Linked DNA regions of Cricetulus griseus. The protein of the gene in region 2 purifies or fractionates together with the protein of the main gene of each other region. This does not show direct contact. Links are inferred from orthologs where the notes say so. Each region holds a gene or a part of one and is shown on either strand. Other genes may lie near its edges.

Evidence for each region.
Region 1: the proteins of Fgf11 (region 2) and Ahcyl1 purify together in Homo sapiens (affinity purification with mass spectrometry; 3 studies listed by BioGRID and IntAct, with this or other methods). This does not show direct contact. The link is inferred for Cricetulus griseus from reciprocal best matches to the Homo sapiens genes FGF11 and AHCYL1.

What each region holds. Positions count from the first base shown.
Region 1 is NW_023276806.1:49,463,555-49,468,084, reverse strand, and holds the start of Ahcyl1 (S-adenosylhomocysteine hydrolase-like protein 1), read right to left. Parts: upstream 2,867-4,530; 5' UTR 2,606-2,866; coding exon 2,486-2,605; intron 1-2,485. UniProt on the Homo sapiens protein: Multifaceted cellular regulator which coordinates several essential cellular functions including regulation of epithelial HCO3(-) and fluid secretion, mRNA processing and DNA replication.
Region 2 is NC_048600.1:83,649,993-83,654,593, forward strand, and holds the start of Fgf11 (fibroblast growth factor 11), read right to left. Parts: upstream 3,078-4,601; coding exon 2,885-3,077; intron 1,182-2,884; coding exon 1,071-1,181; intron 892-1,070; coding exon 788-891; intron 135-787; coding exon 1-134.

The DNA.
Region 1 (4,530 bases), on a different chromosome or scaffold from region 2:
TGTTTTTACACATGTTGTACCTCAAACGAATCAAACAATAAATAAAAGCTGTCAAGATAAGTACACTAGGATCTGATCTTATTGAGAAGCACTGAAGTCACCTATATTCTTTGGCCCTAGGAATGTCCTCAATTCCAGAAGGGCCTCAGAAATGGGAATGATCCAAGAGTTACTTGGTTGAGTCAAGCTGGAATCCTCATGGGTGAAGGACTACACCATTTGAAATAGGCCTTTTTCTCACACTATTCAGTACCATGCCAAGTTCTTTTCCACCCTAACCTTTCCCATAGTTTGTCACATTATCACCACATGGAAGAGGTACACAAGTGACCTAAGTCATAAGTCCAACTCAAATTCTGAGGGGGAATAAAAACAAAACAAAACAAAACAAAACCAGATTACCTAGAATTTACTACATGACCTTGACTGGTCCATTAACTAAATAAATACCTTTTATCATCATTAAGGGAAGGGCAATTAGTCATCATAATGCATTTTAATACAACGTAAATGCCACACAATAAAGTTCAAAGAACAAGATTAATAACAAGGAGACATACATACTAGCAAATGGAAACTTACAACAGGGTCTTCCCACACTCCTGGCAGACTTGCTTATTTTAGCTAATGGGAGTCTCTAAAGTCATTAGCACTTGGCTTCGCAATAATACTCATTTGTGTTATTCCTCTCAGGAAGAAGAAAGGAAAGGGGATATTTACTGCTTGTTGGCATTTGGCATTTCAGTTACTGGTTAGCCAGATTGACAATTAACAATTGAGTACTATATGCAAGGTACAGAGTTAGGTTCCAGAGATAAAATGGTAAACAAGAATCCTTGCCTCTAGGAGTTTACAATGTATAAAGTATACAGTTTACAATGTATACAGATTTTGGCTTATCAGTATTGGCTTGCAAGAATATAGTTACACTGAAATAATGGAAAGGAACAATAAAAATACTCTCAAGTATTTAGATGAAAGGAGGTGGGTTTATGGTAAGAGATAAGAGTCAGAGGGATTAGGCTATCAGATTTTCCTATTCTTTCCCTTAACTCATCTGAGGTACTATGCTTAAGCATTTTGCTTGTAAGAACTCTGTGTATCCAAATAGTGTAGATTGCAAAAGGTCACTTCTTCAGCAAAGCAATCAGAGGAACCAGAGCACTAAAAATGAGGTCAACTGGCTCCCTTAGGATCAAGGAACCTTCCATAACCTTTTAAAGGCACTATTGGTAGAAATCTTTTAATTTTGTGAGAAAACAGAGCTGAAGCACACAGTGATGACTTCTCTTTTCTAGACCTGTTTTTATTAATTTCCTGGAAGAGGGGGTGTTGGGATGCCCTCTCAGGTGCTTAGAACAGCTTAACTAGTTCAGGTGCGGGAACCTGGGGGGGGGGTTAACTACCCCTGCAAACCTTGCTGTTTTGAATTTATACCAGACCTGAATCCCAGCAAATACTGTAGGCACGGTTAGCTTTGAAATGACTTTATACAAGAGGGAAATATCTGTCATGTTTTTCATTGGCTTTAGGAAGGTCACCTCTTTGCAAAGGTTCTTTGGTCTACTGTTAACTGGGTGCCAGATAAGTGGAAAGTCAAGGAATGTTTGACAGAAAGCACAGGGGATCTCAATCCCACCAACTGAGAGGGCTAGTTAGACTCAGCCCTCCATAGATTCTCTTTCCCAAGAGCTGTAGAAGGATGTCCTTTGGGCTGCAACCCACAGCACAATAGGCTGAACTTGTTCTGCTTCAGTAAGTGCAGTAAAGAATGAGCAATCATTTCTTACCACCCACCTCTCCAACCCACCCAAGCTTCTTTCTGGAGGGATGTCTAAATGATCTATTCACATGACTGGGATCAGCCTGCATCCATGACAGTGTCTACTGTCACCAACCCCTCAATTTCCCTTTCTCTCACACTTCCAAGCAACTGGAAGCCTGGAAGGCGAAAATCATTTTGACTTTCAATTTCTTGTTGCTTTTAGAGCCTTCAACCAGTTCATACAGTTTTTCCTCTTGCCTCTAAGCTATCACGCAGTTGTTGGTTAAACGGCCAACGCTCCCCAAGAGATGCCTTGAAAAAGCGCTGCCCGATTTCCCCACTTACTTAAGGGGAAATTTCCTGTATACCCTCATCCCCTGGAGAGGTCACAGGGGTCAGCTGAGTCGTTCACCCCCTCCCAGTCTTTTTCTCAAGGCTCTCCATCCAGGAAAAAGTCAGCCGCAAATATAAGGCCTGGCCCTGCCGGGCTTCAGAAAGATCCAGGAGGACTCCGGCCGAGGGACAAAGAAAAGCGAGGTCAGAGCGGCCTCTTCGGCCTCAGATAGGCCCATGGCCGCTCACCGGCCACCCCCTACATCGTGTCAGTGGTCCCCGAGCACCCTAAACCTTAGCCCGAAGTCCCGAACTACCCGAGCCCGGGCCCGGGGCTTGCTCGCGCCCCTTCCGCGAGGGCCCCCGCCGCCACCCAGAGCCCCGCACCTTCTTGGGAGCCTTGGTGACTGTGGCCATGAAGGAGTACTTCTCAGCGTCCTCGATCTCCTTGGCCTGTTTCAGCTCCTCCCCGACACCGGGCAGCGGCATCGCGTCAGGCATCGACATCCCCCGGCCGGCCCGGCCCGCGGCTAACCCGCCGCCCCCGCCTCTTTCCCTCACGGGCGCCCGCCCGTCCGCGCGGCGCCCTCGGCCACGCGCTCGCCCGCCTTCCCGCCAGGCCCCGCGCCGAGCTGCTGGTGCTTCCGAAGGGCTGTGACCCGCGCGCCTCGTCGGCACCGCCGTACAAGACTGCCGGACAGCGACGGCGGCCACAGAAGAACCAGAAGCAGCAGCGCGCAGCTCCGACTTGCCCGCGCAGCAACCTCCGCCGCACGCAAGCACGCACGCAAAGTAAGGGTAGAGGGCGGAGACGCCACGTCAAGTACTGGCAGGCCCAAGGAGGGTGGGGAAAGAGGCGGGGAGAATTGGCGCAGTCTGCTGATGTTACCACGCTGGGCCGGGCCACAAGAACAGTCCTGCCTCCTTTCTTGCTCCTGGGTGATGAGCTTTCCAGGGCGACTTGTACCATGTACGCCGCCAGGTGGTGCCATCAGCCCTGTTGAGCCCGGTGTGGTTCCTATAAGGATGCCTCAGGACTGAGCGGCCTTGGACTACCAAATGAATTCCCCAGGAGACCTTGGGGTAGGGAGGTGGCCCGGGACAGGAGTGGGGTGGGGGACGGAGGGGAGGGCGTATAAAGAGCGATGCTTGGGGCCATAGGTCAGAGTCCCACAGGACACATCTTAGGGCCTTTTCTGGAACAGCCTTCTCACTCGGCCCACACCATGGCTGGACCCTTTGGACCAGAAGCCCATTTCCAAGGGACAGTGTTTGCTTTTTGACTTCATAGGGGGCAGAACAAGCTGAGAGCAGTCTGGTTTCTACCCAACCCTTTATGACCTCCATCACTATCTCCTCCTGGGCCTTGTCTGTTTACAAGACCTTCAGGCTGCCGTGCTGATGTCAAGAGGTCATTAAGATAGGGTTGATGGATCAGAAGGTAGAGAACTAAAGGCAGATTGAGAAAAGGTCGGGCCAAATTGACCCTCCTGCTGCATGCTCTCTCTGGACATTAGTCTCTGCCTGCCAGCTCTACTCGGAGTGAGCATGCCATGAGTGCGTTCAGTAGCACTCTCACAGTTTCTACTGTGTACGGTCCCTGTGTAAGGCCCTGGATGGCAGAGGTGCCTGTGGCACATTTATGGTTTCCAAGAATTCGTCCATTTGGAGAGGGAAAGCTTGTTTGTGTCAGCTGAGGTAGTTTGTCCTTTGAACATCATTCAAATGACATTGGCTCCAGTTCCTATGTCCTGTGGAAAGTACAATGTTGTCCCCAGGATTTCTGTGAATTACTGAGGGGACTTAGGTTTTGATGGTCACCCTTGGCTCTAGTTTGCTGCCTAGTCTGAAATTTTATTCACTATTCCAGTCTTATGACTGTTTCTTTAGCTCTTGGTGTCACATCAGCCTGTTCTCTTTCCAACTCCCACCCCTAAACCACAAAAATGAAGCTATAATATGTAGCAAAACTTTTAATGAAGGTTTGTGGGTCACAGGGGAGAGGTTACATCACATAGCAAACAGTCTTCAATCACATTTCTGAAATGTTCCGAAAAGTTATTCCAGCCATCTCATCACCTTGGGATTTCTCAATGGCCACAAAATCCCACAAAACTCTAGCATCCTACACATCCAGCTGCCGCCTGCTCCCTTTTCATCCCTTTCCTTCACCCTTCTCTCTTCCGTGGATTCAGAGAAGCCAGATTCTTCTCTACTGTGTTCAGAGTAAGTCTTCCCAGGGACCTTTCTCCTAAATTCTTCTCCACTACTCTTTCATATCTAGCACCTCACCGGGTTGTGGTTTGTTTGTTTGTGATAGCGGTTCACTATGTAGCCCAGGCTGGCCTTGAACTTTTACCCTGTGCTACTATGCCAGGCCTATCAAGAAAAAAAGTTGTGATCTTAAAAGACATCATCCCTCTTCCCCACCC
Region 2 (4,601 bases):
ACCCGGCCCTCCTTGTCCAGGCCTAGGTACCAGGCCCGGCCAGAACGACGCTGGCGATAGAGAGCAGAGGCATACAGGACATAGTAATTCTCAAAGACGCACTCCTTAAAGCGACACTCTGCTGTGAAATGTGGCTGAGGAACAAAGATCCAGAAAGAGGAATGGACACACACACACACCAGACACATACACACACACACACCAGAGACACACACACACCAGAGACACACACACACACACACACACACACACACACACACAGAGAGAGAGAGAGAGAGAGAGAGAGAGAGAGAGAGAGAGAGAGAGAGTTATATCACTGGCAGAAGGGAACCCTTGGGAAGAAACAGCCAATATGCAATCCATACATTTTTTTCTAAAGGAGGATGGCAACCAATGAGGCCATGCAGAAATCAGAGCACAGAGAGAGAGAGTAAGGAAAAGCCTGGAGGGCCATCCAGGGGTAAGAACTAGACCAATAGGGGCTCTGGAAATAAGATCTCTACTCTGCATTCCCAGTCTCTTACTACTTCCTATCCAGAGTAAAGGTGATAGGCTGAGAAGTGGGGGGGATGTCTGGAAGAGTCAGACATCCAAAGATCCTGGGGCACTTTAGGATAAGCGGTGCAAATAGAGACTGGATGTACTCTCAAGGACCACTTTGGAACAGGCAGTGATCAGCCAAAGCAGGAAGGACAGAGTCCTGGGTGCAAGTCCTGTCTGCAGCAAAGGATGGTCGCATGCTGACAGTGTCCCCAGTACCCCAGGCCACTCAGCAGCATTGTCTTACCGAGCTGTACAATAGCCCCTCAGCATTCATGGCCATGTAGTGACCCAGCTTGGCACTCTGGATGGTGACTACGCGGAGCCCCACAGGAATCAAATTGAAGTGGGCTGGGGGAGTAGAGAGCAGATGTCAGGACTCAGTTGCCTCACTCTCCTCTGAGTCCCCTCCGAACTCCAGCTCCACTGCTCCCCTTGGGGCTCAGGAAAACAGACTGAAGACAACAAAGCCTGTCATCTCCTGTCCCTGGCTCCCCACTCCCCACCCTGCAGTTGGCTTCCCCTCTCACTGAAGGAGCTGGTGTCCTCTGGGGTGCCCTGGATGCTCCCATCCGGATTCGCCTGGAGGTAGAAACCCTGGCGGCAGAACAGTTTGGTGACGATGCCTTTGAGCTGAGGCTCTGGAGAGAGAGACATTCATCTTTGAAAAACGACATCTCTGTTCCCAGAAACATTCCTACACTTGGCGGGATCACAGGCTAGAAGGAAGGGGAAATGAAGAGAAGACGGTTCCGGGCCCCAGCTCTCTTACCCTTCAAGCAAGCGTCCTCCCACCCCTCTTTGATTCCTGAGGAAGCTGGGGTGTGGGTCTCTTCCGCTTTCTCTAATCATGAGCGTCAGCTTAATTTATTGAAATTTATTTAAATGGCTTAATTCCTTCTCCCCACCAGAGTTGGGGGAGGGGGCAGAGAGGAGGTAGAAGAGAAAGATATGAAAGGTAACGGACAGTGCTAGAGACGCAGGGCAATGTGTTTGCAAATGTCGGGGTGAACAGCAAGGTGACCATAGGGAAGGGGCTCCCCCTCAGAAGCAGGGGTGGCACTGGGTTTGACTGACGCTGACTCAGCACCTGCTGCTGCAGCTGCCGCTTGCTTGGCGCGGGCCTTGCTTTGGCTCAGCGCCGGCTTGTCTGACACTGACCCATCTGTCTGTCTGTCTGTCTGTCTGTCAGTCAGTCAGCTGGCTCAGGAGGGTCCAATTCTCCGTGAGACTGAGCCTCTAACCTTCAGCCAGGTAACTAGCCTGGGATAGAAGGCATTCATACCACATCAAGGATAAGGAAGAGGGGACAGAGATGGAGAGGCAAGCTGCATCACGTGGGGGCTGGGTCCCACTCAGAGGGTGGGCTGCGGACTGTACCACTACCTACCGTTGATGGTGCGGAAGGAGGGCGCAAGGGGCTACCCCTAGGGGAACCGGCAGCGGCCTGGAGAGAAGCCAGAGGGACTCCCTAACTGTCGTACCTGGACGGGAATCACATACCAACCCTTACACCTCTCCTTTCCCGCGGCTTGCTCTCTGCCGATTTTCCTCTTCCCCCTTGTAAGTGGTACGACCCCCCCAAGTCTCTGTGCAGGTCCTCAGCATGAAGTGTGTGTGTGTGTGTGTGTGTGTGTGTGTGTGTGTGTGTGTGTGTGTGTGTGTGTGTGTGTGTGTGTGTGTGTGTTCCTACTAGCAGAGGGTCCCCGGAGCCTGTAGGATCGGATTTCCGAATCGCACAGGAGTAATGGGAGGGGTGCTCAGCTCCCTCCTCGAAGCGCAGGTCACAGAAGGAGGGCGTACGGAGGGGGCTGGATGACGAGGTAGCTGCAAGGACACCCGGGGGAGAGCTGGAGAGATTGGCTCCTGGCCAGGCGAGCTCGACCAGGAGGAACAGAGCCAAAGCGTGGAGGGGCGGGAGAACCGGAGCGGGGGCGGGGCAGCCAGGGCTGCAGAAACCCTCGGGGTGACCCAAGCGTCCAGAACCCCCCAGGTTCCTCCGCTTCGGATGGAAAGAATCGCGAGAACCTGCACGTAGGCGAAGAACCGTGGGGGTGGGGAGTCCTGTGTTGAAGGGGGGCAGACAGAAGCCTAGAAGCTTGGGTCGTTAGACTTGGCCCCTCAAACCTTCCCCTTGCCCTCGAAAGCAAGGAGACTCGGCATTACGGGCAAAGAGGAAGGAAACTGAAGCATAGTCCCATAGGTTTTGTCGTTCTAGCCCACCTCTTCTACTTTTGGGACAACACCCCCCCCCCGCGCGCGCACCATCAGCTGCATTCTTCAGGGTCCCGGGTCCCAGGCAGAAAGACTTCTGGCCCGGAGACCCCGCCCTAGTCACACTCACCTGGGCCGCGGTCCTGTCGCGTGGGCCGCCCCCCGCACAGTCGCACCTTGGACAGCAGGATGAGGAGCTGCTTCTGGCAAAGAGACTTGGTGCCGCGGGGACACACGCGCCGCTGCGCCGACACTGGCCGGCTGCTCCCGGGCTCGCGGACCTCCCGCTTCTGTCGGATCAGGCTACTGGCCAACGCCGCCATAGCGCCCCGGGAGGAGACACCCCCAAGCCAGCAGGCTCCCGGAGCGCCCTGGGCTCCCCTGGAGGAGCCCTCTCACCAGGGCATGCTCTGGACCCAACCCACCGCCCCACCCACAGGACCTAAGGATTAACCCCAGACCCCCCTTGCTTCCCCCCACGCCCCAACCACCGCTCTCACCCTTGGGCCCTGCACTAGCTCCAGCGGCTCCAACAGCCTATGCACTCTTTAGCTGACCTCACCCATGAATTTTGTCCCCTAATGAAAGCTCTCCCCTCCCCTCCTCTCTGGCCTCTGTCCCCACTTCCTGTGTCCCAAAGTCAAGACCCTCCGAAATGCCCAAGATGCGTTCTCAATATCCTCAGACTTCTTTCCACCCTATTTTGGGGCCTCTCCTGCCCAGCCTACTCTTCTCATCTGAAGGGTGCGGGTCTTTATCTTTGGGGACATTAGCTCACCCTGGGCTGCTGTCAATGTCAGAGAGGAACCCAGTCCTGATGTTTTTTTTTTTTTTTTCCTTTGCTATATTCTAAATGGAGTGGCTCTCCCACTTTCTTCAAAAATCCCCCCCAAATATGTCTTAATATGCAGTGAGAAGGTTCAGTGAGAAGGGGTTCCCAGATCCTCTGGCTGGATAATGCTTTTTCTCACAGGGTTCCAGTACCTGGGGTTCTAGTACCATAGGGTTTCAGCTGCTGAGACCATTTCCTTACTTTGTTACCCTCCACTCCTTTTGAAGTCACCTCCAAATCAGCCCTTCCTTCCTAGTGCATACACCAGGTGGTTGTCTGGAGGACCCTCTGTCACCCCGAAACAAGGAGCATCTGTCGTTTTTGTTTGTTTTCTGGTTGCCCCTTAAATTTCCCGAGGGACAACTGGCACTACTTAGATCCCACACCCTCCAATCTAACAAGGCCCCCAAGAGTGGAGAGCACCCACGTTGTCAACACTCCTCAAACGTCAACAGGCCTTAATAAGTCATAGCGCATCAGAGCTTCCTACGACAGGGCTTCCTCGTCCTCCCTGGGATTGCTTTAGCGCCCCTTCCTTTCCCCGACGCCCCTCAACCTGTCCTGTCCTGTTGATCCGGGCGACGGGTGTCGCGGGCTCCGGCTCCAGGCTCCTCCCTCCCTGTCACCCGCAAGCGGAGGTTCCCCCCAACGCCGGCCTAGGTGTCCGGGACCCCCAGGAAGGAGTGAAGATGTCTCTGCAGAGCGCCCCGGTTCGGCAAAGTCAGAGCACTGGGCCTGGAGGTTGGACCAAGCTGAGCGGCGGCGGCAGGAGCAGCGGCTGTGGGAAGCTGAGGCGGCGGCGGCGGCGGCGGTGGCGACAGAAGCTCCCCCTCCTCTGCGAGCCGGCCCGGGGGCGGGGCAGGGGGCGGAGACGCTGGGAAAGAGGGAGGCGAAGCTGGGCGGGCGGAACCCTGGGGTTCCTTGGAAGCTGTGAGCAGGGACTGTTTCAGAGGCAGGCGGAATCGAGGCAAGGCCTGCAAGTCTCGGGGTTCAGAGGAGACAAGACAAGGAAGCC